Ovis aries: one gene and its partners. The protein of the gene in region 6 interacts with the protein of the main gene of each other region in a pairwise test. Links are inferred from orthologs where the notes say so. Each region holds a gene or a part of one and is shown on either strand. Other genes may lie near its edges.

The links.
Region 1: the proteins of CEP70 (region 6) and YJU2 interact in a two-hybrid assay, tested with the Homo sapiens proteins (2 studies listed by BioGRID and IntAct). The two-hybrid records come from large-scale screens. The link is inferred for Ovis aries from reciprocal best matches to the Homo sapiens genes CEP70 and YJU2.
Region 2: the proteins of CEP70 (region 6) and METTL17 interact in binary tests that used the Homo sapiens proteins (3 or more experiments, as listed by UniProt). The link is inferred for Ovis aries from reciprocal best matches to the Homo sapiens genes CEP70 and METTL17.
Region 3: the proteins of CEP70 (region 6) and FAM133A interact in binary tests that used the Homo sapiens proteins (3 or more experiments, as listed by UniProt). The two-hybrid records come from large-scale screens. The link is inferred for Ovis aries from reciprocal best matches to the Homo sapiens genes CEP70 and FAM133A.
Region 4: the proteins of CEP70 (region 6) and ENKD1 interact in binary tests that used the Homo sapiens proteins (3 or more experiments, as listed by UniProt). The link is inferred for Ovis aries from reciprocal best matches to the Homo sapiens genes CEP70 and ENKD1.
Region 5: the proteins of CEP70 (region 6) and MFAP1 interact in binary tests that used the Homo sapiens proteins (3 or more experiments, as listed by UniProt). The two-hybrid records come from large-scale screens. The link is inferred for Ovis aries from reciprocal best matches to the Homo sapiens genes CEP70 and MFAP1.
Region 7: the proteins of CEP70 (region 6) and FAM161A interact in binary tests that used the Homo sapiens proteins (3 or more experiments, as listed by UniProt). The two-hybrid records come from large-scale screens. The link is inferred for Ovis aries from reciprocal best matches to the Homo sapiens genes CEP70 and FAM161A.

The regions. Positions count from the first base shown.
Region 1 is NC_056058.1:17,612,634-17,616,254, reverse strand, and holds part of YJU2 (splicing factor YJU2), read left to right. Parts: intron 1-481; coding exon 482-663; intron 664-1,828; coding exon 1,829-1,949; intron 1,950-3,621.
Region 2 is NC_056060.1:24,452,235-24,456,511, forward strand, and holds the start of METTL17 (methyltransferase-like protein 17, mitochondrial), read right to left. Parts: upstream 2,866-4,277; 5' UTR 2,835-2,865; coding exon 2,754-2,834; intron 2,610-2,753; coding exon 2,456-2,609; intron 2,370-2,455; coding exon 2,235-2,369; intron 1,558-2,234; coding exon 1,479-1,557; intron 1,225-1,478; coding exon 1,143-1,224; intron 830-1,142; coding exon 756-829; intron 298-755; coding exon 203-297; intron 1-202. UniProt on the Homo sapiens protein: Mitochondrial ribosome (mitoribosome) assembly factor. Binds at the interface of the head and body domains of the mitochondrial small ribosomal subunit (mt-SSU), occluding the mRNA channel and preventing compaction of the head domain towards the body.
Region 3 is NC_056080.1:140,852,916-140,856,536, reverse strand, and holds part of FAM133A (protein FAM133A), read left to right. Parts: intron 1-3,011; 5' UTR 3,012-3,114; coding exon 3,115-3,621.
Region 4 is NC_056067.1:34,775,447-34,779,716, reverse strand, and holds the start of ENKD1 (enkurin domain-containing protein 1), read left to right. Parts: upstream 1-1,384; 5' UTR 1,385-1,444; exon of another isoform or gene 1,445-1,489; intron 1,490-1,670; 5' UTR 1,671-1,685; coding exon 1,686-1,770; intron 1,771-1,855; coding exon 1,856-2,056; intron 2,057-2,597; coding exon 2,598-2,770; intron 2,771-3,792; coding exon 3,793-3,918; intron 3,919-4,006; coding exon 4,007-4,170; intron 4,171-4,270. Other genes in the region: C14H16orf86 (uncharacterized protein C16orf86 homolog), read right to left, coding at 53-300, 640-866, 1,060-1,164. UniProt on the Homo sapiens protein: Microtubule-binding protein which regulates microtubule organization and stability. Promotes the stability of astral microtubules and facilitates the proper orientation of the mitotic spindle.
Region 5 is NC_056071.1:53,265,284-53,269,434, reverse strand, and holds the start of MFAP1 (microfibrillar-associated protein 1), read left to right. Parts: upstream 1-1,313; 5' UTR 1,314-1,452; coding exon 1,453-1,531; intron 1,532-4,151. UniProt on the Homo sapiens protein: Involved in pre-mRNA splicing as a component of the spliceosome.
Region 6 is NC_056054.1:251,159,178-251,163,368, forward strand, and holds the start of CEP70 (centrosomal protein of 70 kDa), read left to right. Parts: upstream 1-1,277; 5' UTR 1,278-1,367; exon of another isoform or gene 1,368-1,566; intron 1,567-4,191.
Region 7 is NC_056056.1:46,300,745-46,305,084, forward strand, and holds the start of FAM161A (protein FAM161A), read left to right. Parts: upstream 1-1,493; 5' UTR 1,494-1,578; coding exon 1,579-1,776; exon of another isoform or gene 1,777-1,783; intron 1,784-4,340. UniProt on the Homo sapiens protein: Involved in ciliogenesis.

The DNA of each region.
Region 1 (3,621 bases), on a different chromosome or scaffold from region 6:
ACACATGCTGTGTAGTCCCAGGACTGCGTATACACGGCTCTTACTCCCATGATCAAGTTAAAATTAAACTATGGCCCAGATGACCCCACGAAAGGGGGATTGCCCAGAACGGGCCTGACCTATCACCTGAGTCCCTTAAGCTGGGTCTAGAGTCCGACACGGAGGGAGTCTTTTTTTTTTTTTTTTAATTATATGATTTTTACTTAGTGACGGAGCCAGGCTGGAAGTCCAGGCCACCTGGTTCCAGTATTGACTAGCCACATGGTCTCGGGCAATCTCTTCCCTTTCTCCAAGCCTCAGTGTTCTGAGCCATGAAGTGGGTGCAGCCAAGGGACCAGGTGTTGTGGATCCAGGGCCTGGGGTTGAGGGTTCCTTCCCTTGCCCATGGTGACGCCCCAAGGTCAGGCAGGCCATGCAGGGTGGCAGAGGGGGTTGAGTTGCAGCGCCCTCAGCCGCACGTCCGTGCCCCGGTCCCTACCAGGTGCTGGAGAACAGAACTAAGGACTCCAAGCTGGAGATGGAGGTCCTGGAGAACCTGCAGGAGCTCAAAGACCTGAACCAGCGGCAGGCCCATGTGGACTTTGAGGCCATGCTGCGGCAGCACCGCCTGTCAGAGGAGGAGCGGCAGAGGCAGGAGCAGGAGGAGGATGAGCGGGAGACGGCGTGAGTGGGACACTGGGGCCAGAGGGGGCCGGGGTGCCCACCCACCTCCCAGCCTTTGCAGTGCCCTTCCCTCTGCGTGGAATCCCGCTTCCCGATCTTTGCATGGCTCCCATCTTAGGGAGGCCTTCCCCATATCCCACTCCCCACCTTGTTTTCTCTCTCGTGGCATCTGTGTCAGGGTCCCCAGGATCACCCCCAGGTTCAGTGCTTAATTAGAATGAAAAATTACAGGGAAAAATCAACAGCAGGAAAAGGCATGGGGCAGGGCTGGGGGATTGGGCACAAAATTTCAGAGTCTTCTGCCTGTCATGAGATGGGCTTAATTCCCCCAAAAATAGACGTGATGGCGTGAATGAGGTGTAGTCCCTGGGGAGGCCTAGCCTGGGGTTCTCATTGGGGGCCAGTCACACAGGTGCCTGCCCAACTTGGCCGAGCCCCCAGACTCCAGGAGGAGAGTGCACCCCTTGTTTGCCCAGATAGTGTTGGGGCAGGGAGCTTCCCATCAGTAGCAGGAGCCCCAGAGTCCAGGGCCAGTTGCCCCTGAGGGCTGGCCTGGTAAGCCAGCCTTTCCGAGGCTTTGGCCTCAGGCCTGCTGTGTCTGTTCATGCTTCTGCAGGGCACCTCCCACTTTCTGGAACCTTCTTGCTGATTCACCCCTTTCCTGATATGTCTTCTGTCCTTCCTCACCTAAAATCTGAACAGGGACTCGGTTTGGCTTCTGCATGCAGGGCCTGGAAGGGAGTTGGGCACAGAGTAGGTGGACAGCCAGTGCTGTTGGGTTGGCAGGTCAGTGAGACCGGGATTAGCAGTGAGAGAAGTCTGCGTTCACTGAGCCCGTTTTGGATATGGGCACTGTTCTGAGTTTGAGTTTGGATCCACCATTATGGTGGTCGAGGGAACTGGGGTGTAAGGAACCATACACACAGCCCTGCCTAAGGTCCCCCAGCTGGGGTTCAAATCAAGGCAGGCTGGTTCCAGCCTCCAAGTGCTTAACCACCCCACTGGGTTCAGTGGACAAAGAACTGTTTTTTTAAGATATTTGTTCACCCCCATCCCGTACTTAGTGAAGCTAGGAAAGGAAAGCCAGGTGCCTCATTGTGTGGGGGGTCCTGGTCACTGTTCCCCCAATAAAACATGTCCCCAGGTTCCATGTTCCTTCCTGCAGGGCGCTAGTGGAGGAATCAAGGAAAAGAAGACTCCTTGAAGACTCTGACTCAGAGGAGGACACCACCCCCACCCAGCCCCAGCCAGCCCTCCGGCCCAACCCCACTGCCATCCTGGACGAGGTGAGTGGGGCCACCTGGATTCCCACGTGCTCTCAGGTGGAGCAGGGACAGGGTAAGCCAGGCTTGGCTTAACTTTATCTCGAAAGGCCACAGACAGCCCAGGCCATAGTGCTCAACACCACTGTTGTAGCACTAAACAGCCGTGGATTGTGTACAAATAAGTAGGCATGGCCATGTGCCAGGAAAACTTTATTTACAAAGACGGGTTGCAGCCCTCCAGGACTGTGAGGTTTTCTTTTTATTTCTATGATTTTTTTATTGGAGTATAATCACTTTACAGTGTTGTGTTAACTTCTGCTGCACAACAGCGTGAATCAGCTATGTGTATACGTGTATCCCCTCACTCCCATCCCACCCCTCTAGGTCATCACACAGCACCAAGATGAGCTCCCTGTGTTGCACAGCAGCTTCCCACTAGCTATCCATTTTACACATGGTAGTGTGTATACGTCAGTGCCTCTCTCCCAATTCGACCCACTCTCTCCTTTGCCCTACTTGTGCCCACTAGTCCGTTCTCTATGTCTGCCACTCTGTTCCTGCCCTGCAAATCCAGGGCTGTAGTTTTCCACCCCTTCTCCAGCTGCAGAAACAAGGAGACTCGCTGGATTTAGAGACCTCAGGCAGATGTTGATTTCTCAGGCACTTAACAGTCCTGGGCTGGACTCCGGGGCAGCCCTGTTCCATGCAGTCATTTCAGGGATCCAGGGCTCCTCGCTTCTCCTAGTTCTGCCCTGTCCTGGAGTATGGCTGCCAGCTCTGTGGTCGCAGCTGGCTCAGAGCACCCTGGGGTTCTGGCTGCGGGAAGGCGGAGGGGGTGTGGAGGAGTACCTGCCAGTGCCTGGAGGCCCAGGTTCAGATGCCACCCACACCCACTCCCCTGGAATGTGGAGTCCCAGTGGCTGGACATAGTCATGTGGCCGCCTTGAACTGCAAGGGAGGCTGGGAGCTGCCCGTCCTATTATTAGCAGAAGGAAAAAGAGGGTTGTGGGGGTGAGGGGTAGGAGATTGTCTGGCATTTTTCACCACAGCTGTCTTATCCAAGGTGATTGAGGCCACTCTGGTTAATCGAAGGAGGGGCTTAAAATGGGAAATGGTAAATAATGCAGAGATCCTAGAAACTTTATTATAACTCAAAACATGTTCCCGGTCTGTATTAGTTAAATACCAGTCCAGCCACTGGACAGGACCCAAAGTAACAGCAGTCTCAACTGCATAGAAGTTACTTTTCTATCAAATAACAGTTGTACATGGCCGTGCTGAACAGGGAATATGGACCCTGGTGTCCGGGGCATCCTCCACCTCATTGTCCTGCCATCCCCAGGATGATGCCCTCAATGCAGGGCAGCTCACACTGGCCAGTGGGAAGGGCTGGGGACGGGGGAGGACATTAAGGGTAACAATACCTTTGGTTGAGCAGATCCTTCTGCTCACACCCCATTGGTCAGAACTGAACCACCTGCCCACATCCTGATGCAGAGGGGTCTGGGAAATGTAGTCTTTCACAGGGGCAGCCATGTTCAAGCCATGAATTCTGAAGAGGATGGGTTTGGGGGTCATGCACTCTCACTTGTCAACCTTTTGATGTAGAACCAAGATATTTTCTTTGAGGCTGCATCCCCTGATCAGAGTTCTCTCTCTGTCTTTCTTGCATAATCCACCCTCAGAATTCACC
Region 2 (4,277 bases), on a different chromosome or scaffold from region 6:
GGTCATTTGTCCTGTTATTCTTACCCTACCCATCCATAGTCCAACAGAGGCCTCCAGCATCTTCAACAGGGTCATCGCATCAGACCCATCTTTAACTTTCCGGCCTCTCCTCTACTCCCCAGTAAAAGACCCTTTCTGGTACTCCTTTGCTTTGCAAATGCCTTCAACTTTGGAAAAGCCCTTCCTTACATTTTGTCCTCACCTTTCAGCAGCTTTTCTGCCAATTCCAACATGGCAGCTGAGCTGTCCACGCACATATACTCACGTAGGCTCTGACCCCAAGTACTATGAGCAGCCCTAAAGTGGCAAAAAATAAATCTTCAGTTCTTACGACAAAGTTATTCCTACAAGAGACCCCTCTGTCCCTAACCCAACCTTGAGGAAACAGAGCGCTATGTTAAAATAGTTGGAAAAACTAGCAATCTTATTTTCTTGTTTCATCTACAACTGTTAAGAAGACTCAAAAACTATATGAACACACACACAAAAATCTTGCTGACATGTAAATCCCTGTCCGAGATCAAATTCCTTTCCTTTTTTATCCTTCTAAATGTGGGTTTTTTCACTTGACATTTCTTTAAGTTCTGACCCTAATTTATATACCTTCTCATGCCTTGTCTAATCTGAGGGAAGAAACACATCAGTTCCAATTTTCTCTTCTTCCTTTGGTTCTCCAGTGTCTTGATATTGACGTGGCATAAGCTAGCTCTAACTCTCTAGAGTTGGAACTGACAGAGACAGAGAAAGATACTCACCAGGTGACAGAGCCAGTACCCGAGCCAAAGTCCATCAAGGTTTGTGGCTGGAAGTCTGGAAGGCGAGCTTGGATCTGAAGAAATATTCAATACCCCACAGTGGGGAAGACAGACACTTATTTAGGGTCTTGGTAAACATGAATTAGGGGACCGCAACAGAGGAAATGAGCTGTGAATGTCAAGATTCAGTGTAAATGCCTTATAGAATAGAAAGGTCTTAGAACAGTGATTCTAAACCTTTTTTTGGGTCAAAAATTCCTTTCAGAGGATAAAGACAACCTCTCGAAAAAAATGCACATGTAATGTCCCAAGAATCTTGCCCCAGATTACTTTATGAAAAAGGGAACTGATAGTAAAGTTTCTGGTTGGAAGTTGAGGGAATTTCACCTCATGGAAAGCTCTGGAAACTGCTGCAAAGCCACCATCCAGTCTTGCTGCCATATACACCAGGCTCAGTCCCTCATTGTAGCTGCCAGAAAAATCAGACATACCACTGGGAATTAATCTCTATCCTGCAGCTACCCTCCAGACTTTTAGGAAATGAAATCTTTGCAAAGGGCTCTTCCAGCTCAACCCTTTCACTGATCAACACAGACAAGTCTTAGGGAGGCTTATAAACCAGATTGCCTTTTCACACACTAAATGGTGTAATTGTATTTCCCCAACTCTCCTTCTCAAAAGCCAAACTTTTCCTTCTTCTGCAGCCCTTCTAGTCTCCCTTACCTCAATTCTTGCCAATGATAGGTAGTTCTGCGCAAGGCACGCAGGACTTCTTCATGATGTTTCTCTGTCTGACATGAGTCTGGGGTAAGAACAAGCACTGGAAGTAAGGACCTAGGAAGAACAGGGCTCAGATACAATATCTGAATTTACTGCCTGCCATTCCCTACCAATTCCCACATGGAAAATGCTTAAGAGAGAAGCCAAACTAGAGAAGAGTTTCAGGTAAGAATAATAATGACCACCACCACCATAGTATATCAGATAATATATTGCCTCTAACAGCAATTCATTCAATTCAACCAACTCTATCTCACAGGTTTTGTTCTGTATTAAAAGCAAGTGTAATAAAAAGTTAAAGGATAGGATAGACAGTACTTTGTAGATTTCTTCACTTCCCCCCAATTTAATAATGTGATGTCTCCAAAGTTCCTATAGGAAGGAAAGGGGCTTGAAAAACTTGTCTTACAATTGTGTTCACTTCAGTACTATTTTACCTACGGAGTGCCTACTACAAACCAGGTACTACAAGAAGTCAGGGAATAACTCATTGATCTTTACTAAAGCCCTGAATTTAATAGGCAATCTCTGAAATTACTTTTCTTCTTTTAGAAAGGCAACATTATGAATAACTACTCTGATTAGAAAGTCAAATAAGAAATCGCAGTATCTATTTAAGAGGCTGCAGAATTATTACTAGCTCTTCATTTCCCTCTGCTCTTTCTATTTGGCTTACTCTTTATTTTTGAAAAGACCTACCTGCGTTTTCCAGGATTTTTTTCTCAAGAAGAACAGCCCGTCTTTGTAGCTCCTCTGGCTCTACAGGTAAATGCCGGCTCCAGAGATAATTGGTTAGGGCTTGCACCTGTTTCTCCATATTGGGCATCGAGCTCTCTATGGACCAAAGATGCAAAGAGGAATCACTTGTACGCAGGGTCCAATCTTCGCTTCTTGAGCTTCCATTTCCCATCTTTACTCACCTAGCAGCAGTAACTGCGCGGCTTCAGCCAATCCTTGCGGCAGCCGCACGCATGACAGCTGCAGGATGCCAGGGTGCCGGCGATGGGGCCTCTTCCCCAGGAAATCGGACTTGTTATCCACGTGGGATACGCCGGGCACGAGGGCAGCAAGCGCCTGCAGAAAAAGGAAAGCTAATAGGGGGCACAGAGGATGGCTGCGGGAGGCTAAAGGAGGAGCTGCCGAAAGCGCACCTCCTCGGAGAGGAGCTGTTCTTGAGGTCCAAAGCTTCTTTTGAAAGCAGGGAAAATAGGTACTCACTCGGAACTGGGGCGCTATTCCAAAGCTGCGGCGCCATCTGCCTATTGTCAGCAGATACCGCGACCCTCTAACGGTCGCCATGGCGCCAGCGGTGAACCGGAACCGGAAATTTAGGTGCAGTGTCTGTCACTCTCACTAGCTGCAGCGAACATCCTGCGCGAACATTGGCGCCGGGCAGTAACAGCCAATGCGGAGAGCGAGTGCTTGCTAGTAGCCAATAAACAATCGATCTGTAAATCGCCTTGGAGGCCGTTTGTGCACCTCAATTCCAGCGTAGCTAGCCGGAAGCTAGGTGACTTCCACCCTGCGTTGTGATTTGTCTCCGCCTCCAGAAATTGGAGGGGCGGGGTTAGGTAGGTATGGGCTGACCCTATGCTGGGTTCGCCAGAAACGCGTCACAGGACGGCGAAGGATTTGTGTTTGTATTAACTACCAGTGTTCTTTCTTTCACCTTCTGGAGAACACTGAAGTCTTAGAGTTTTTACCTCCTGTGTGAAATGGAGTAAAGTATAGTCGCTCAGTCGTGTCCGACTCTTTGCGACCCCATGGACTGTAGCCTACCAGGCTCCTCCCTCCATGGGATTCTCCAGGCAAGAGTACTGGAGTGGGTTGCCATTTCCTTCTCCAGGAGAGACTGCAGTAATGGGAAGATGATCAAGGGAAGCCAGATTTAGGCGACCAAATTGATGGAATAATAGATAATAGATTTAATGTTTCTTACTTGTTAGTTTCTCTTAATATTAAACCAGTACTTTTAAGCCAGGTAAATAGCTACCATGAGAACCTTATGTGACAGGTAGTGTGGCAAGCGCTGTTATATGGTACTACCTTATTTAGTCCCCATACTTCTAAAGGATAGATTTTGCACCCAAGGAAAGTGAAAGTTCAGGTGGCTAAATATTCCGCTTGAGATCCAAGAGCTTGTTAGGTGAGAACAAGTTCTAAACCTTGGCAATCTAAGTCTGATCTTCACCTTTAAACATATGCTCTGCTGGTAGTATTGGTACATAGAATGCAAGTTAGCAAGTGCCAATTTGTCAAGTGCTGATGACAAATTGGTACTTTCTATCTGGGGGCTTCCCTGGTAGCTCAGTTGGTAAAGAATCTGCCTGCAATGCAGGAGACCTGGGCTCGATTCCTGGGTTGGGAAGATACCTTGGAGAAGGGAATGGCAACCCACTCCAGTATTCTTGCCTGGAGAATCCCATGGACAGAGAAGCCTGGGAGGCTACTGTCCATGGGGTTGCAAGAGTCAGACACGACTTAGCAACTAAACCACCACCGCCATCTACATCTATGAGGATTAAATGATGACCTGCTGTAGCTGCTGACCTGTAGCATCCTCTGAAAGGATTTCAGGGTGGAGATCAGGAATGAGGCACTTTGTGCTCTGGGAAAAACTGCCAGAAAAGTCCATTTATTTTCAGGAGATTATTTTTATGAGCCCAATTTTTGCATTTTCTCATATCTAGAAAAGCACCAGCATCTTTCATGGTGATGTGTGCTCTTCATGACTAGCAGTAA
Region 3 (3,621 bases), on a different chromosome or scaffold from region 6:
ATGATCAGGCTATTTACTTCCTATGCAGCCTTACCTCCTGCTACTGCCCTCTTTCACTTTAGGCTCCATCAACACTAAATACGGTGATCTCTCAAGTCTCTCTTTTTTTTTTCACGTTTTTTTTTTTTCCAGGTAAATCCAAATTTTATTTTTTAAAATTTTTCCAAGTTTTCACTTTATTTATTTTTAATTCAAATTTATTTATTTTAATTGGGGGCTAATATCTTTACAATATTGTATTGGTTTTGCCATACATCACCATGAATCTGCCACAGGTGTACACGTGTTCCCTATCCTGAAACCCCCTCCCACCTCCCTCCCCGTACCATCCCTCTGGGTCATCCTAGTGCACCAGCCCCAAGCATCCTGTATCATGCACCGAACCTGGTCTGGTGATTCGTTTCTTATATAATATTATACATGTTTCAATGCCATTCTCCCAAATCATCCCACCCTTTCCCTCTCCCACAGAGTCCAAAAGACTCTTCTATACATCTGTGTCTCTTTTGCTGTCTTGCATATACAGTTATCGTTACCATCTTTCTAAATTCCATATATATGTGTTAGTATACTGTATTAGTGTTCTTCTTTCTGGCTTACTTCACTCTGTATAATAGGTTCTACTTTCATCCAACTCATTAGAACTGATTCAAATGTATTCTTTTTAATGGCTGAGTAATACTTCATTGTGGATATATACCACAGCTTTCTTATCCATTCATCTGCTGATAGACATCTAGGTTGTTTCCATGTCCTGGCTATTATAAACAGTGCTGCGATGAACATTGGGGTACACGTGTCTCTTTCTATTCTGGTTTCCTCAGTGTGTATACCCAGCAGTGGGATGCTGGGTCATAAGGCAGTTCTATTTCCAGTTTTTTAAGGAATCTCCACACTGTTCTCCATAGTGGCTGTACTAGTTTGCATTCCCACCAACAGTGTAAGAGGGTTCCCTTTTCTCCATACCCTCTCCAGCATGTACTGCTTGTAGACTTTTGGATCGCAGCCGTTCTGACTGGTGTGAAATTGTACCTCACTGTGGTTTTGATTTGCATTTCTCTGATAATGAGTGATGCTGAACATCTTTTCATGTGTTAGCCATCTGTATGTCTTCTTTAGAGAAATGTCTGTTTAGGTCTTTGGCCCATTTTTTGATTGGGTCGTTTATTTTTTTGGAATTGAGCTGCAGGGGTTGGTTGTATATTTTTGAGATTAATTATTTATCCATTGCTTCATTTGCTATTATTTTGTCCCATTATGAAGGCTATCTTTTCACCTTGCTTAGAGTTTCCTTTGTTGTGCAGAAGCCATGTATTGTTTCTTCTGCCTAGAATGTCCTTCAGTTCCTCATTTCTTCAGTGAACTCCTATTTATTGTTTAAAACCTTGTACTGACATCACCAACTTCAGGAGCCTTCTCTGAACACACCTCTCTCACAGAGTTACCCATCCATCAATCCACTCATTTGTTTGTTTATTATTGAGAAATATTTATTGAGTACTTAGTGTGGACCAGATGCCATGTAAAGTACTGGGAACATCATGGCTAGAAGACAGGCCAAATGTGACCTTTACCCTTCTTGGCCTTATATTTAGAAGTGAATATACATATGCATATGCACGTGAACACACATGCATCACACACACACATACACACACACAAATACACATTCAAATAGATAAAGAAAATAATCATCAGTTTTTTAAGTGCTATGAATAAAAGAGGCAAGAAACTGTTATACAGAATAATGAGTGTAAGGGATAGATACAGAAGCAACATAGTATAAGGTTGACCCATGTGAAATTGCTAGTATTTGAGTATTTTTGTTCCACGTAATTGGTGATTTTATATAGTTCAACCTAATAGTTGCCTTTCTGAGGAACTGACTTTAAACTTAGATCTGAAGATGAGCTAAAACTGGCTAAGGTGGCTAAGCTTGAAGCTTAGCATGTTTCAGAAACCAAGAGAAAACTGAAAAAGATAGAATTGAGAAAACTGTTGAAATGTAAGAGCTATAAGTAGGACAGATTGTATTGGATCTTTATAGGAATTTGGATTGATTTTCATTGAAGTATAAAGCGACTAGATTATCTTAAAATCCTTCTGATTTCAGTGTGGTACTGAAAGGGAAGAGAATAAGGGCAAAAAATAGGGCTGTCAAGAAGTTGATATCAAGAGGCAATATAATGTTGTGCTAAGTGTGCAGGGTTTGCCCTCATGCTGCCTTGATTTAAATCCTGGTTTTACCATTTGCCATTTATTATGTCACTTTATGCAAGTTACTCAAACTCTCTAAGCTTCAGTTTTTTCATTTGTATCATAGGATAATAACGGGATCATCTTCATAGAACGTTGATCTATGACTAACCTCTAGATTAGTCTAGAGACTGAATAAGATTATCCACTGCACAACACTGAGCAGTCCCTGGCATCTAATAGAGATTAATAATCCAACGACAGGTGACAGTACCTGCACTATTTTGATGACAGCATATTTGAAGAGAAGTGAACAAACATGAGACCTCTTGTTGTGGGGGTTTAAGCAGCAAAATTTATTAATGAATTGGATATGTGAATTGAGGGAGAAGGATTTTCAGGCATGACTCCTAGGTTTCTGTCAAAGAAAGGAATGGATTGTGTTGCACTCTACTAAAATGAGGAAGGTCTGCCTGGTATATTATTTGGCTACAGAAATTTCTCTTTCATTATACCATATAAGGCAGAATGAAAGAAAGAAAAAAGGTAAGTACCATATAATATAAAAATAAAGTTATTTAAAATTTAGATAATAGAACCCTACATGAGATATGAAAAACAATTTATTTTATATTTATACCACAATGTCTAAAGCATGTAAAAATTTTGTGTATATATTATTTTTTTCTGAAACTCTAAGATTTTGTAAATCTTTTTACCATACTATGTGATAAACAATGAACAATTAAACTTATGTGCTTACTTTGTCTTATATTAAAGGCGTTTTGTAATCATTCCATCTGCTTCTCTCACAGAATGGAACCTTCTTGGTATACCAGCAGATGAAGAATTTAAGGAGGGTGTCTATCTTTATTCTCTTTAGCAACTGAGAGTCTGCTCTGGGAACCATCAGGCACCATGGGTAAGCGGGACAATCGGGTGGCCTATATGAATCCTATAGCAATGGCCAGATGGAGGGGCCCATCTCAATCTGCAGGCCCAACAATACAAGATTATCTGAATCGACCAAGGCCTACCTGGGAAGAAGTGAAGAAACAATTAGAAAATAAAAAGAAAGGCTCCAAGGCATTAGCTGAATTTGAAGAAAAAATGAATGAGAACTGGAAGAAGGAACTAGAAAAAAGCAGAGAGAAATTATTAAGTGGAAATGAGAGCTTATCCAAAAAAAGAGACAGAAAGAAAAAGAAAAAGAAGAAATCTTGTCGGTCTTCATCTTCTTCTTCATCAAGCACTGATTCTTCAAGCAGTTCTCCAGATTCCGAAGATGAGGAAAAGAAACAAGGAAAAAAGAGAAAGAAAAAGAAGAACGATTCATACAAATCATCAGAAAGTTCTCCATGTGATTCTGAATCAGAGAGCAAGGAATCTGTAAAAAAGAAAAAGAAGTCAAAGGATGAAACAGAG
Region 4 (4,270 bases), on a different chromosome or scaffold from region 6:
GTTGGGTCCAGCTGGCTGGGACAAAAGGGAAGGCTCAGGAAATGCCACTCACGCTCAGGCCCCAAGGTCACTGAGGGTGCCGACACCGTGCTGGCCACCACTGGGAGCACTGGGGTTCCCAGACTCTTGCGCTTCTTGGTCTTTTTGTGCTGTTTGGCAGATGGTGAGGGCTCATTCTGATTATTCTCCGGCTCTTCCCTCTGCAGCGACAGCCCCTGTGGCAACTCACTCTCTGCCCTAGGATGGGCTTGGTGGCTCGGGCCTGTGAGGCTGGGGAACAAGGAGGCCTGAGGAGCCAGCCTGCAGCCTTGGCTCCTGTGCCCTGTCCTAGGGAACAGTCCTGCCTGCCTACCTCCCCAGGCCGTGATCCTTGTCCTTTTCCTGGTCAGTGAGGCCCTGGACTGGACAGGGACCCAGAGATCATGGGAGTTCAGTCCCCTACCAGGCCTTGAGACTTTTGCTCTGCATGTTCCCTACATCAGGGCTCTGGAGGGTCAGCAGAGGTGAGGAATGATGGTGGTGTCAGGGGATAAGGATGGACACTACTGTAAGGCCCCATTTAAGAATCCAACTGGGGTATGAGCCACCCCCACACCACCTCCCCAGTTCCCAGTCTCTTCCCTCTGAAAGCCCCCTCACTTGACCGGCTTCCTCTTCGGACCATGACTGGGCCTCACAGTGGAGGCCGTAGGCCTGGGACCTCTCTCCTCCAGGGCCTCCACCTCTGGTTTGTGCCTGTCTTCCTCCAGCTTGAGTCTCTCCTGGATCTTTGGCTCTGAGGTGGATCTTATTGGACATTTATCTTCATCCTGGGTTTGGCAGGCCTCATGGGCTGGCACCAGGCCCTGGTCTCCCATCACTGGACACTAGCGGTGACACACAGGTAACTGGTCACCATGGCCAGGTAAAGGATACAGGGACCAGCCATTAGACTCTAAATACTCTGGATGAAGGGCACCAGCCCATGCCCCTCCCAGCCTGTGGAACCTGGCCTGGCAGTTTTGGTCTATTAAAGCGCTATGACCCAAGTGTTTGAAGGTTAGACAGCCCGATGGTCACCTCAGAATTCTGAGCATGGCCACCAGGCATCTCTGTAAGCTGTGACTGCCCCACGGCTGCCCCTTCTTGGGCCCCTGGCCGCTTCTCAGCCCCTGCGGAGTCCATAGCTGCGGCGGATCAGCACTTCCTCGACGGTTGCTTGAGGGGCATTGGGGATGGAGGGCGGATCCTGAGGGGCCAGACTAGTAGACCCTGAGCGGACCCGGGAGAGGACCGGATTGGGAAGGGCAACTGACAGTCGTTCTGCTCCCCCCTCAGCTGGAACTACAGGCCCCAGAAGGCTTTGCGCCAAGGCCATTGGCCCCTGACCTCACGGACGGAAACCATTGTTGCCTGGCAACAGCAAACCCGTCGGGTGGCGGCAGTGGGCGGCAAAACCGCTCTGGTGAGCCCCTTGCCCGAGTGAGAAGCCTGCCAACGGTACTGAGAGGTGGGCTGAGAGCAGAGGTGGCGAGCGCAGGCCGGGGCCGGGAGGCGGGGTGGGGGCCGGGAACGCAGGCAGGGCACGGCTGAGGTTAGGACCCGGGGCCAGGGAGGAGGCACTGGGCTGAGAAGCCGGGTTTGGAGCCAGAGACGCGTAGCCCGGCAGGCCTCAGGTGCAACGTTTGCAGGACGGCGGCGGCGGTATGTGTGAGGGTCCGTCCCGCATCTCGGGGCCCATCCCCCCAGACCCTACGCTCTGTCCGGACTACTACCGGAGGCCGTCTTCGGGTGAGTTAGGGAGTGAAAGCGGCCTGGCAAGGGTCGGGCCCAGCTCCACCACTGACTCCGCACTCTGCCCCGTCTGGCCTCTCAGCCCAAGGGCGCCTTGAGGGAAACGCGCCGAAGTTGGACCTGCTGACGACGGATACGGACCCGGACCTAGACGCCACCCCTCCCCGCGCCCCTCGCATCCGTCCGGGAGGCCTAGAAATCCTGGAGCGTGGCCGTCGCGGCGTGGGTGGTGTGCTGCTGCAGCTCGGGGGTATCTCCCTAGGCCCAGGGGCCTCTCCCAAGAGTAAGTTCTGGTCAGAACGGACAGCGAGGCGGCTCTGAAGTCAAAACAGATAAAAAGACGGCTGCTTCCCCTTCCCTGCTCTGGGCTCAGGCTTTACCTCTCAGAGTGTCTGTTTCCCCAACTGTAGAAGGAGCGGGAAATGCACGACTTCTTCGCAGGAGAGGACTAAATGAGGCATACCCCGGAAAAGCCCGTAGCTCAGCTTCATGGATTTATGCATGGTTGGTTGTTGAGTGTCTGCTGTGCTCCAGGCCCTATGGGTGCTAGGAGAACAAGGTCGAAGAAGCGCATCATTGAATCAAGGTGGGAGACAGTAAAACAAGTGAAGAGGTGAATAGGATATGCAAGGTGATTACTAGTATACTTCATAATCAAATATGTATAAAATCATCAGAAACAGAAGATAATTATGGTGTGAGGACGAGAACAAGGTTATGTGGTGGACTTTAGAGTATGTCAGGGAGGCAGGGTGTGGGCTTGTGTGTCCACTGGGGTAAGTTGGATTGTATGGGCTGTATGTAGGGCAACATCTTTTCTCCAGGGAAGGACCCTAAAGACCATGAGAAGGAGAACATGAGGCGGATCAGGGAAATCCAGAGGCGCTTCCGTGAGCAGGAGCACAGCCAGGAGCAGGCCCAATCCAGGCCCCTGAAGGCCCTGTGGCGCTCACCCAAGTATGACAAAGTGGAGTCGCGTGTCAAGGCTCAGCTGCAGGTACCTGCCTCAGGGAGCCCCAAGTGTTGCCCGTCTTGTTGGCCAACAGGACATTATACTCTGACTTGAGTTATGAGGAGGGAGGAAACCCACAGTGGGCTGAGGTCACAGGGGATGAAGAGCTGGTCCTGCTGCAGAGTGGGGCTGTGGCCTTTCTCTGAAGTGATGACAGCTGGGTGATTCTGAGGGGCAAGTCGGAATTAGGCAAGGGGAGAATAGAGGAGAACATTTTATAGAAATGGAACCTTGTGGTTCCAGGGTCCCTGGTCCTAACACCAGGGACTTAGGAGTGTGGGCAGTGGGGATGCTGTGTTCAGTTCACTATGAGGGAGGAAGAACATGAGGTTAGGCTAAGAAGTCAGCTGGACCCACATCATAAAGGGCCACATAAATCCATTTTTTTAAACCTTTATTTCTAAGGACAATGGGAAGGGCAGGGGTATGTATGGTGGTAAGATTCTATCTGGGGTAGCTAGTGGTGCCACTTCTCTTTCCAGGGGTCTGAGAAGGAGAAGTAGGACAGAAAAAAAGACAAGGTCATATGTGGGTGTGTTGAAGCTGAAGCTTTTGTGGGGCTTCCAGGGAGTGGGAATGTGTCCAAGAGGCAGATGGAGAATCAGGTCTGGATCTCAGAAGTGAGACCCAGGAGCTATTGAGGACGAGGCTGAGGATAGTGAAACCAGGGAAGTGACCCTGGATTTGGGGGCTTGGAGACCAGCTGTTGGTGGCCTTGGTAGGGACAGAGCCAGAAAGCTTGACTAGGAAGGAGAGAAAAAGAGAACGATGACTGAAGCCAGGACTGAGGTAGAGGGAGGGAAATATGTTTTCTGAGAGATGTGAAAAACACACAGGTTTAAATGCTGATGTGATGGAAGTACTTATTCAAGAGGAAGGAGGCCAGGTCCAGAGGACTGGTGATAGAGAAAGATCCTGAAAGACAGGAGGGACAGAGGCATGGTCTTACAGCTTGAGACCCTGACTTCAGCCTGACTGACCACCCCCCGCTCTGCCTTGGCCTCCAGGAGCCCGGCCCTGCCTCTAGAACTGAGCCAGCCCACTTTCTGCGGGCCCATTCCCGTTGCGGCCCCGGGCTCCCACCACCCCGTGTCCCCAGTCCCCAGCTAACCCTACCAGGTCCCAATGCTAAGGTGAGAGGATATGTGGGGGCTGGGAGGTGGGGCAGGGATTCCGGGGCACCACACAGTGCTGTTTCATCATGCTGGCCATGTCCCGCAGGCCCCAGGTCTGGGTGTGGACTTCATTATGCACAATGCCCGCACTGCCAAGAGGGCCCCCCGGCGGCATTCTCGCTCGCTGCAAGTCCTGGCACAGGTGCTGGAGCAGCAACGGCAAGCCCAGGAGCACTACAACGCCACGCAGAAGGGTCACGTGCCCCATTAGTAGGTCCTACTGCTCCCCCCACTCCTGGGAAGGGGCACTTATGGAGGGTGGAAGCCCACGTCTGCCTAGGGTCATCAGCCCTGGGTCTGTGCATCACAG
Region 5 (4,151 bases), on a different chromosome or scaffold from region 6:
ACAGTCCTTCGTAGCTCAAAACTTGTGTCCTGCACTGTTCTTTGATTGAGACTTGCCCAATTTTATTTCTTCTCCCAGCTGAGGCCCAACTGTAGAACAGGTGAAACCACTTGAGAAGTAATGCTACTAACAGTACCTTCAGGAAAGTTCCCTTCAGCAATTTTTCACTCCTGGACTCAAAAATTACTGATAAAATCACTTTTCACAGCGCCTGATATATGCCATATTTCTGGACTTCAAGACTTTGCTCACATTGTCCCTTCTCTCCGTACACAGCAGTTATAAAATCTTTTCTACAGCGTTCTGCCAACTAGCCTGTTTTTTGTTTTTGTTTTTAAACACGATCCACCTAGAAAATGGGGGCTATTTGTTCCTATTCTATTATAAACCCTTTCGGTTCAGTTCAGTCGCTCAGTCGTATCCGACTGTTTGCGACCCCATGAATTGCAGCACGCCAGGCCTCCCATTGCTGCTGCTGTTGCTAAGTCACTTCAGTCGTGTCCGACTCTGTGCGACCCCATGGACTGCAGCCTACCAGGCTTCTCCATCCATGGGATTTTCCAGGCAAAGAGTACTGGAGTGGGGTGGCATTGCCTTCTCCGGGCCTCCCATTAAGACTTACTAAATAAAATTCAAGTTCCTGGAGGACACGAGCCTTTTAACAATATTCCATACTCCTTAGAGAGATCTAAGTGATGTAAACACCAGTGCTTAATAATTACTTACGGACTCATATACAAACACTCCAGCCAGGAATATGTTATAATAGGCAGTCTCCAGAAACGGACAGAACTGGAACGCTTAATAGTGTTCGGATCTCAGACACTATTCTAAGCTGCTTGGGGGATTTTTTTTTTCTTGCCACTGGCCTAAATTACCACCACTTGCCCTCAAGTGACCAAAAAATACCTCACCACAATCCGCTCAGCCTCATCAACTGAGCTAATCAAGTGCTGTTAACGGGATTTCTATTCCGATTAAACTCTGAGCTTTCAAATTTGACAATCTTTACAAACTGCAGTTCATTATCTCCTGAGTTTCATTATTCATCACTACCCTGTAATAGTCGGGTTTAGACCAACCTAACGAACAAAACCTTTACTTGAGACTTCCCTCGTCGCAGGGTCTTAACAGCAAATCCCAGTGGAACCAACTTCCCGCGGGGAAGACGCGTACAAGCACTGCGAGACTGAGAACACCGGGGCAGCCTATGGACATGCGCAGTAACAGACTCCACCTTCTAGTCGTAGGCGTCTAGAAGTCCTCCACAATCCCACAATCCTCTGGTCGTATACTTCCGGTTTTTCTAGCTCAGTCGAAGGTGGTGTTTCTATCAGTCGCGGAGCAGTTTCAAGTGGTCCTAGGAGGAGAGGGTTTTATCTGTTCGTTGACGTTGTAGCTGTTCACTTTGAAATCAGTCGAGTTTCGGGAGTCACCGCCGCTGTCGTCAACATGTCGGTCCCAAGCTCACTCATGAAACAACCGCCCATTCAGTCAACGGCTGGGGCCGTCCCGGTTCGCAATGAGAAAGGTACTGTGTTGAGCGGTTTTCCAGTCGGATCTTATCTCTTTCGTCAGGATATTCCAAACTTACCCCGGGTCCACCACCTTATCCCCAGAGATCCTTAAGACCCTGCCCCTATTTCTTCGACTTCCCCGTCAAACTCGGATCCGATCGCGTTGCTACTTAGAACTCATCTCCTTAGTAGAACCTGTGTGCTCTCTCGTCCACCAATAAGTTAAGCTAATATAGTGAATGCCTGCTATTTGCATGGCTTTGTGTAGCATACATTTTGTTGTCCATTGTCTGTTTATGGTGCTTTTATAACTCGTATGATTGTAATTACTTGTCCACCTCCGTCTACTACATCGTAAATCAATAACCTATTTGAGGCAAGAACTCTATCTTAAAACTTTTTATCCCTTTCAGCCATCGCAGTGACTGTATTTGTTACATTGAATACAAAATGGTGTAAAACAGTGGTGTAAGGAACTCATAGTCTGTAGATGTGAGACATGCAAAAAAGAGGCACATTCTGAACAAATTTATGGTCTTTCCCACCTATAAAACCTGTCACATAGGTGATATAAACGAAATGCTTTGGGAGGACAGAGAAGGAATAATCTCTTCAGATTGGAATATTTAACTTGATCTTTAAAGGATGGGTAGGATTCTAATGAGTGCAGATGGACGAAGGAAAACTGTACTTGTTTGGGGAGTCAGACTGAAAGTCTGAGTTTTTTCAGTAAAGTATTTGGAAAATAATGTCAGTTCTTTTTATCTTTTAAATATACAGTATCTATCTTTGTGCATTCTGCCTTTTGTTGTTGTTTTTTCCTTAAGTCAGCATGACTTTGGTAAGTGTCCTTTGGATACCTGAAGATCTCATTCATTCACTTTAACTGCTTGTTTCGTCGCTAAGTCCTGTCTGACTCTGGGACTCCATGGGACTGTAACCCACCAGGTTCCTCTGTCCTTGGGATTTCCCAGGCAAGATTACTGGAGTGGGTTACCATTTCCTTCTCCAGGGGATCTTCCCTACCCAGGGATAGAACTGGTGTCTCCTTCATTGGCAGGTGGATTCTTAACCTCTGAGCCACCAGGGAAGCCCCTTTACCTGCTTATAAGTTCCATTGTATAATTAAACCACAGTTTGATCCCTGTTGAGGGACATTTAGTTGTCATTTTGTTACTTTTTTCCCTTTTACAAATAGTGCTTAAATATGTCTCTTTAGTGCACTTGTGTAAAAATTTCTACTAGGGTAGTGTGAATCTACGTTGACACATCATTTATCATTCAGTCCGTAGTTTGCATTAAGATTCACTCTGATGTACATTCTATGGATTTGAACAAATGTATCGGGATATATATCCATCATTATGGTATCACACAGTATTTTCACTTAGTAATATGCATTTTAAGTTTCCTGCATGTATTTTCATGGCTTGATAGCTCTTTTTGTTTTGTTGTTGCTGAGTAATATTCCATCATCTGGATGTACCATAGTTTACTTATCCATTCACCTCTGTGAAGGACAGCTTGGTTGCTTACAAGTTTTGGCAATTATGAACAAAGCTACAATCGATATCCATGTGCGGGTTTTTGTGTTTTGCTCCTTTGTATAAATACCAAAGAGCGGAAATGAGATCATATGGTAAGAGTATGCTTAGTTTTGTATGAAACCACCAAACCATCTTCCAAAGTGGTTGTGCCATTTTGCACTCCCACCCACAATAAATCAGAGTTCCTGTTGCTCCACATTCTTACCAGCATTTGGTATTGTCAGAGCTCTAGATTTTGGCCATTCTGTGTGTAGCAACATCTCATTGTTGTTTTTTTTTTTTTAATTTGCATTCCCTGAAGACATATAAGGGCTTCCCAGGTGGCTCAGTGGTTTAAAAAAATTACTGCCAATGAAGAAAACAAAGGTTTGATCCCTTGGTGAGGAAGAGGCCCTGGAGGAGGAAATGGCAGCTCACTCCAGTATTCTTGCCTGGAGAATCCCCATGGACAGAGGAGCCTGGCGGGCTACAGTCCATGGGGTCGCAGAGTCGGACACGACTAAGCCACAGAGCATGCACGAAGACACAAAATGTGGACCATCTTTTCACATACTTATTTGCCATCTGTATATCTTCTTTGGCAAGGTGTCTGTTAAGGTCTTTTACCTCACCTTGTTCTTCAGAATTGTCTTGGCTCTTTTTGACCTCCTGTTCTTCCATATGATTTTAGAATCAGCCTGAGAACAGCTTTTAATGAAATTACATTAAAATTATAGAGCACAGGTCAGTTCAGTCGCTCAGTCGTGTCCGACTCTTTGCAACCCCATGAATCACAGCACGCCAGGCTTCCCTGTCCATCACCATCTCCTGGCGTTCACTCAGACTCATGTCCATCAAGTCCGTGATGCCATCCAGCCATCTCATCCTCTGTCGTCCCCTTCTCCTCCTGCCCCCAATCCCTCCCAGCATCAGAGTCTTTTCCAATGAGTCAGCTCTTCACATGAGGTGGCCAAAGTACTGGAGCTTCAGCTTTAGCATCATTCCTTCCAAAAGAAATCCCAGGGCTGATCTCCTTCAGAATGGACTGGTTGGATCTCCTTGCAGTCCAACGGACTCTCATTTATTGATTTACTCGGGCACAGTTGCC
Region 6 (4,191 bases):
TAACTTAGGTTTAATCGTACTGGGGACTATAATGGTTTATCCAAGCTAAACCTAAGTCGGTTTTAAAAATTACTAAGGTATTCAGTTTCTTTTCAGCAAAGCTCTAGGTAAGGCCAGCTATTGAACAAACTTAACAAAGAGGTGTTGACGGTGTCCGCAGGATCAGCACCGGGACCTCTGGCAAAGTCTGTCAGTTAGCTCTCTGAGCCAGGTGTTCCCAAATGTGAGGCACAAAAGACGCGAATAACTTTTCCAAGGAGCATTTTGCAATGAGTACCGCAAGCCTCTCTACACAACCAAAAAACCAGACGAAACAGTGTTCAACGAATCGTTTTTTGTAATAGGTAAGAACCAAAAACCACCTGTTTGTTCACCATCGTGAAGATAATCCGCGGAGTGAATCACAGTCCTGTCACTCAGCAAGCTTGGAGCCCGGTCAGGCGCGGAAAACCTGGCACCAAAGCACCCGTTCGCGGCCAATAAAAACGATGGAGACAAACATCAGCCGCGCGCAGACGCGGGGGATGTATTGGTAAGACAAAGAAGCCAGGCTGCAGCACTTTGTGATCCGAGTTCTGCAAAAATACAGCCGGCTCATTTTTGCAGGGAAAAGGGCACTGGAAGGAAAGACACCTTAATGCGAGCCCGGTGCTCCCCGGGAGCTTCCCGGTGACGTCTGCTCCACTTTTCCGACTGCGACAAAATGAATTGATAGTCAGGCAGAGGCCGGAGCCGCGGGTTCCAGGGCCTGGCCGGGCAGGAGCAAACCGCCGCCCGGCCGGGTCTCTGGGAGACGCCCGGAGACCCCTCCCCACCTCCCGCGCGGGCCTAGGCCTCACCGCGGGGTCGCACCGCCGCCAGGACACCGCCCACTGCCCAGCACGCCCGCCGCCGCCGTCGCCGCCGTCGCCGCAGCCGGGAGATGGCGGCCGCTCGCACCGCGGCGGGGGCGCCGGGCGCTGCGCACAGGGCCTTCCGGGCCGGCCGCGCCGCCCCACCTGGGCAGCGAGGCTCACCTGGGCGCCGTGGGCCTCTGGGGGCTCAGGGCCCAGAGACCGGTGGGTTCCGCCGACTGGACCTCCTAGGCCCTTCACCGAGAACCAGACGCAGCCTCCGTGGAAGCGAGAGCTCCGGGCGCGCCGACTGTTTGTCGCGCTTTAGGTCCCCGAGGTGCCCAGCGCCGACCGCCGCCCGCCCCTCCCCCGCGCGGCGACCAGCCCCGCCCGCGGTCCGCGCGGCAGGCTTTGCACTCTTACTCCTTCCCGAGACGCCTCCGTAAGAACCAGCTGACAGCGGGCGCTGGCTGGACGCGGGAGTGAACCGAGTGGGCAAAACCAGACCTTGCATGCTCTGAAGCCACGGGGCAGGTAAAAACGATCCTAGCATTGTCTCCTTGAAGCTCTGTATGGCTTCTGATTACTCCTAGAAAGATCAAAACTCGTTAGGATGGGCATGAGGCCCCGTGTATGATGTTGGCCCAGTCTCCCCTGGCTTCGTTTAGATAGATCCTCGAATGATGTGAAGTCCTTCAGCCCAGGGCCTCTGCAGATGCTCTTCCCTTTGCCTGGACGCTCCTCCCTGCCTCTTCCCTTAGTTAACTTCCGTTGAGATTGAGATTGTTCGTCAAATGTCATTTCCTAAGAAAAACTATCCTAAGGCTTGCAACACCTGGAATTCTCAGTTCTGTTCAAGTTGTGCAAATATTCGTGTAATCTTTGTTGAATGTACAGCATAATAGGGTTTCCTCGGTGGTTCAGCCGTAAAGAATCTGCCAGCAATGAGGGAGACCTGTGTTGGGAAGATCCCCTGGAGGAAGCACCACAGCCCACTCCAGTATTCTTTCCTGGAGAATCCCATGGACAGAGGAGCCTGGCGGGCTGCAGCCCATGGGGTAGCAAAGAGTTGGAGGGAGCATGGCTCCCTCGCAGCTTAATAGTAGGCTGAGGTCTGTGAAGTCAAGGACCACTGCTGCTTGGTTCTCACTGTAGCAGCTCCCACGTCTGCACAGTGCAGGCTCCCACTATGCTCTGATAAGTGTTGTTGAATGAATGAAGAGTAGACCTGAGTAATGTTTCAGGTGGCCTTGATTTTCATTAAGGAAGAGACAGCAATCACTGCAGAGGAGGGGATGGGTGAGTGGGCCATCTGAAAAGAGCAGTGAGTGGTCCCCGTGAAAAATGGGTTCAGCAGCAAAACAAACATGTGAAAGGGTTCTCTGGGGGCTCTGAAGATTGGAGGGCAAAGGGACATGCAGGTCCCAGTGTGTATTTCTTCCCTCAGCCTGGTGTTAAGGTAAAGGATTGTTTCACCTCTGGGATTGGTAGTGAGGATGCTGAGCAAGTATCTGAGAGAACAGCAGTTGAGAAACAATAAAGAAGAATCTGTTGATTAGGTTAACTAGTCTTCAAAGTAATGGACTGAATTCCTAGGGAAATTATGTTACAGGGATTCTGCTTAGAGAGCACTGATTTCTTGTTTGCTCTTGTATTGAAAGCTCCCTGGAGACAAAGACTTTTCATATTTGTATTTTCTTCTGCACTAGTGTCTTGAATAGAGACTTTTCAATAAATGATGATTGAAAGAATGAACCAGGGAGATAGAGAAGAAGGCAAAAGGCCCCAGAGTGGAAATTTCCAGAAATAGATGAAGATGCATCCCTAATTCCTTTTTCTTGTCCTTAGATCTTCTGAGAAACACTTGTGAATTGTTGGGTGAGGGCCAGGAAACCCTGGTTGGGCAGTAGCTGAAAAATATTGTTTAGTGAAGGATCATATTTTCTTGTAAAACTTTGGGAATCAGAATATCTTTTATAAGACCAATAAGGTATAATTTATTGAATGCTTGCTTTGTGCCTTGTATAGTATTGCCTGCAGTTCTCACAACAGTCCAGTAGTTATTCCCATTTTACAGAGACTCAAAGCCCTACAGAAGTTGCAGGGCCAGCCCATGAAGCCAGCCTGTAGAATTTTAGAAGGTCATATTATCAGAGTCTGCTGTTATTCAGATCCTGTCTTGGGGGTCTGGGGAGTCCCTAGCTTAAGGGCCCCAGAGTGCAGAGGGGCTCAGCCCACTCATCAAGTGCATTCAAGTCTGTCCCCTGAATAGGTGAGGCAGTCTCATTTTGCCGCTGGCTTATTCTGCGCCAATGTTTCCTTCTTGGGTATAGTTTCTGGGGCATCTGGAATTAAGGAACTTACCAGTCTAGGCTGTCTTTTCTACCTACGTATTCCCTGGGCCCAGCACACTGGAGGTAGGCATGGCCACTTGTTATCAAAGAGGCTTGTTAGGAAAAGAAAGTGTGAACAAAACACCATGAAAGGTGTTGACCTGAGTGTGAAACATACTCACCTGGTGATCCTGCTCTTGACTTTATTTCCACTTGCAGATTGTTTTCTTGTTTCCCTAGAAGTGCCTGGATGTTTGTTGCTCTAGCCTCTCAAACTACTTCTCACCAGCCCACCCACAGACGTCAGTGATTTATTTTAAGAGAGCGCCTAAAACTGCTTTCATTCACAGTAGTCTATGCTTTCATTGGGCCTCCTTTGGAAAAGGGAATTGTTAATGAATTAATGGATTTTCTGAAATTACTTCTTAAACAGCAAGAATGGACATCAAAATTAAAGGGAAAAGTTACATCACCTGATACCTACAGGTTTAAAACTTCCCACGTGCCCTTCCAGTATTGGTCCAGCGTGACTGTTGGCTCTGTGTGAATGGAAGCTGCGCAGAGACGTTCAAGAGCCCAGGATTCTGACTCAGCGGACTGTGTGTCAGCGTGAGTCCAGTAACCAGGCTCCTGCTCCAGCCAGGCTGCCGCTGCTTGGGCCTCTATCCTTCAGCACAAAGAGCCTCTGGCTCTCCCGACATAAAACACAGAAAGTGGAGAAGGATCAGTCAAGATGAATTTATAAACTTCACACCAGAAACATTTGACAGTTTTAGGAGAAAATAGATTTTGTTCTGAGTCATCTGGAGAGTGGGGTTTATAGGTTCACCCTTACTTAGACCAAAGAACCAAGGGAAGGCACCTTTAAAGTGTCTAAGGAGCATTCCGAGGCTTGTGTTTCAATTACTTAAGACAAAAATCTGCATCTGGTTTACTTTGAGAAATTTCCAGTAGTCATGTATGTATGTGAGAGTTGGACTGTGAAGAAGGTTGAGCGCCGAAGAATTGATGCTTTTGAACTGTGG
Region 7 (4,340 bases), on a different chromosome or scaffold from region 6:
CTGTATATATTTCAATACAAAGGTGCAAAAATAATTCTTCCTACGATGATAAGATTTGTCATTTTCTTCTTGTAGATCTGTCCATTTCTGCTCTATATATTTTGAGGCTATATTATTAGATATCTGCAAATTTATGTATATATAACTGAATCACTTTGCTGTACATAAACTAACACAACATTGTAAATCAACTATTTTTCAGTAAAAACAGTTTAAAAGATAACTGCAAATTTAGAATATTGCTCACGAGTGGAAGCTTTTTTGCTCTTCTACATACACATACAATATGTCCTCCACACTTACTGCTTCTTTTCCACTCTCTTCTAATGTTCTATTTTCAGTGTTTCAGCATGCTGATTTGGGGTCGGGGTCAAATCACAAGAGGGTTACGTGCAGCCACAGAACTCGCTGCATGCAAACGCCTGGACGTCCCTTCTGTGGTCATTTGCAGCGTCCATACCTCATGGGCTTCCAACTCTAGCTTTGGCTAAGAATCCAGCCGGTGTCTGTTCCAGTGGTCAAAGCAAATCCTCAGCCAAAACAAAGAGCAGCCTGCAGAAAGGTGAGGGAGTAGGGTGTTTCGCAAGTGTTTACATTCCTGATGGAAGAAATACTTGGTTCAGACTTCAGAGAAGGGGTCTGGATATTGCGCGTTGCGTACCCTAACTTTGTGGTGGTGACAGCAGGTTGTAGGGCCAGGAGTGGGGGGTGGCTGGGGCCTCAGCCTCAGGAAGTAGGGGTTTGGCTGACACTGCACCACGAAGCGACTTAGCATCATCAGCAGCAGCACCACCACCACGCCTGATATTTTAAGGCTAGGCTTCTTTTACAGGCGCTTGGTGTAGCGGCAAGGCGTCATCTGAAGCGCCCAAATCCCAAGTGGGAGACGTTGTTGGGGGTGAGGTGGAGATGAGGCTTGTTTGTGGCTACTGGTGGGCGTTTACACCTTCCGATCCCCACCACTATAAAGCGGAGGAACCCAAGCAGCAAACGTTCGGGTCACACACACCTGCACTCTCAGTCACTGGTGGGTGGACCAGGCTCCACCTTCCTCCAGATTGGTCGACTTCCGTTAGCTTTCAAGTCAGGGTAGAAAGTAACTCACGGCTTCCCATTCTCCGGCTCGCTGGAGAGCCATGTTAGGTCGCGGGATGCAAACGTTACCATTGTCCCGAGACCGCGACACGATAACACGCCCTGCTTTCTTCTGCCGCCGCCACCTCCTCCAAACATATTATTTCAATGAATAAAAAGCCCCACAGCACAAATCGTTTCATTAGTGTAATGTGAGAAGTCTGCATTTAGGGGGTGAAATGCGAAGAAGAGGGACCAGGTGCCCTATTCCCCCGACCAATCCTCTAAACCAGCAAAGACTCAATACTGACTCCCACTATCCAAGGGGCCCCGCGGCGGGCGCCGGTTTTAAGTGATTTTTGGCCCCTCGCGGCCCCTGTAGCGTCCCTAGTTACCGGGCCCCTAGTAACCACCACCCTAAGCAAAGAGCAATCGGGCGCCTGCGGCCACGCCGGCTTCCCCGCCCCGGGCCAGCGCGGGCGCTCAGGCCTCGGCGGCGCGGTGATGGCTGCTTCGCACCGAGCGGCGAAGTTGGCGGCCAGAAGTCTCCAAACCCCGGTCAATCCCAACACCGGAGCGCGGGTCGCCCAGTACGAACGCAAAGACCCTTTGAATTCCCTGTCGGCGGCGGCGGCGGCCATGGAGGAAGAGGAGGAAGAAGAAGAAGAGAAAGAGGCGGCGGCACGGCTGGCGCGGGCGCCGGTAATGCAGGGGAGGGCAGTGGGGTGGGGCTGGGCGCCGGGTGCAATTGGAGGCTGATCGGCGACCCCCGGTGGTGAGGCGCGGGCTGGGAAATGCGAACCCTGTCCTGACCCGTACAGGTGAGCCTGGCCCACCAAGTCCTCTGGGTCCTCACGGAAAATGCTCGAAACCGAGGCGTTGAAAAGTCTTTTAACCAAAGAGGTTGTTGTAAAAATTTCTTGGAGGGCATTTACGTTACGCTATTTCTAATGAAAAGTACAGAAATTTATTCTTATGCTCCAGCAACTGTTGGGAGTAGGTATTTTCTTTTCTTTTCTTTTTTTTTCTTTTTCCTTTCAACTCGAGGAAAACTGTGCTGTCCTACAGAGAATAATCCAAAAAACGCAAGTGAATCAGCTGTGTTGTCAGGTGTGTTTTGTTGTCACTTCAATGTCTTGGTTATTAGTGCGTCTTAATACAATACATGAGAGATGATGGTTAAAACCAGCAGGAGTTTAGTGGGGAGATCAGAAACAGAGTTAAGCCTCCAGAGAAGCAAATTACTGAGGCTCCAGTGTTGCCACACGGCTCTTCAGAGTGAGGAGAAACAGCTTTTTCACAGATCGATTTTCAGTGTCGAGTGTTTTGTGAACACCTGTCTGCCAGGTAGGGGGCCAAGTCTGCCATCTGCTCTATTCCCTTAAAAGATGAGAACTTTGAATTTTAACCAGCAATCTGCAGGTATAAACCTTCTTAACCCCAGGTAAAGATTCTTTTGTTATTTTTAATATTTATTTATTTGGCTGTGCTGAGACTCAGTTGCCTCCATGCAACCTTTGTGTGGATTCTTTAGTTGTGGCATGCAGAATCTACTTCCCTGACCAGGGATGGAACCCAAGGCCCTTGCATTGGGAGTGCAGAGTCTTAACCAGCAGAGAAGTCCCCCCAAATTCTTAATACTGTTTGCTCAAAGCATCTTAGGTTAAAAACATGTAGTCTAGTGAAAGTCACTCAGTCATGTCCAACTCTTTGCAACCCCCATGGACTATACAGTCCATGGAATTCTCCAGGCCAGAATACTGGAGTGGACAGCCTTTCCCTTCTCCAGGGGATCTTGTGGTCTAAGGCTATTAGAAATCACTGGATATTTTGGAATTCTAATTTCTTTAATCTGCACTAGAAATGGTAATGAGAAAATCTGTAGTAACACCTTTTATGGGCAGTATTTTACCAACAGATAAACTGCTTGAGGTTATCCAGAGTAAAGCAGATTCAAAGACCCTGAACTTCAACCAGAATGAGTGACCTACAACCAAATTCATTCATGATAAAGCTTCAAATTTCAATACCCAATGAAGGAGGTGGACTGATGTTGAAAAATGATTTGAATGAAGAGAAGAATTTGGAGTCCTGGGTTAGGATCTGTTCATTTGCTAGTTAATATTAAGATGTAACTTCTTTCAGTTTGTTTCCTTATCTATAAAAGAGCTCTAAAATAACTGTCTTTCTTTTCTCACTGGGGTATTATGAGAACGAAATAAGAGCATATGTCATAGCTAAAAGACAGTTTGTATAAATTAGTAATAATAATAACAGCTGCCAGTGGGGCTGTTATTTGAACACCTATCCAAAAGAGAACAGGAGATTAAGTTCTCTTCTGGCTTGCTGTAGTGGAAAAGTCAGTCATTTCTGTGGTTGCAAGTATACTTCCAGAGTACCCTGTAAAATTGCAAATTTGTATTAGAAATATTACCTTAGGAGAGATCAGTTTATCTAATAAGCTAGTTTCTAAGGGACAGTGTCTCACTAAAAAAGAAAAAAGGAAGCTAAGTTTAACGCTATTCTGAGACCACAGTACTTAAAGGAACCAAAAGGAAATCTGGATCAGCTGCCACTGTAGTAGTGGTAAAGAACCCCCTGCCTGCCAGTGCAAGAGATGTAAGAGACGTGGATTTGATCCCTGAGTCAGGAAGATCCCTTGAAGAAGGGAATGGAACCCATTCCAGTATCCTCGCCAGGAAAATCCCATGGACAGAGGAGCCTGGCAGGCTACAGTCCATAGGGTCGAAGAGTCTGACACGACTGAAGTGACTTAGCGTGCAGCACATAGCAGTAGACCTGATGGAGACACTGGGGTGGGCAGACAAAGCACTGGAAAGGCAAGAAAGAAAGTGCAGCAGACAAGCTTTACCTTCCTCACAGTTTGGCTTGATATCTCACCTTGATTTTTAAACGCTAGTTTCTCTCAACTTTGTCGTCTATAAAATGGAGTTAACTCAGCTTACCATAGCCATCACACAAAATTGATTATGTAGAACTAACTGTCATAGTTCGGTTCAGTTGCTCAGTCATGTCTGACTCTTTCCAACCCATGGACTGCAGCGCACCAGGCCTCCCTGACCATCACCAACTCCCGTAGTCTACCCAAACTCATGTCCATTGAGTTGGTGATGCCATCCAACCATCCCATCCTCTGTCATCCCCTTCTCCCCCCACCTTCAATCTTTCCCAGCATCAGGGTCTTTTCAAGTAAGTCAGTTCTTCACATCAGGTGGCCAGAGTATTGGAATTTCAACATCAGTCCT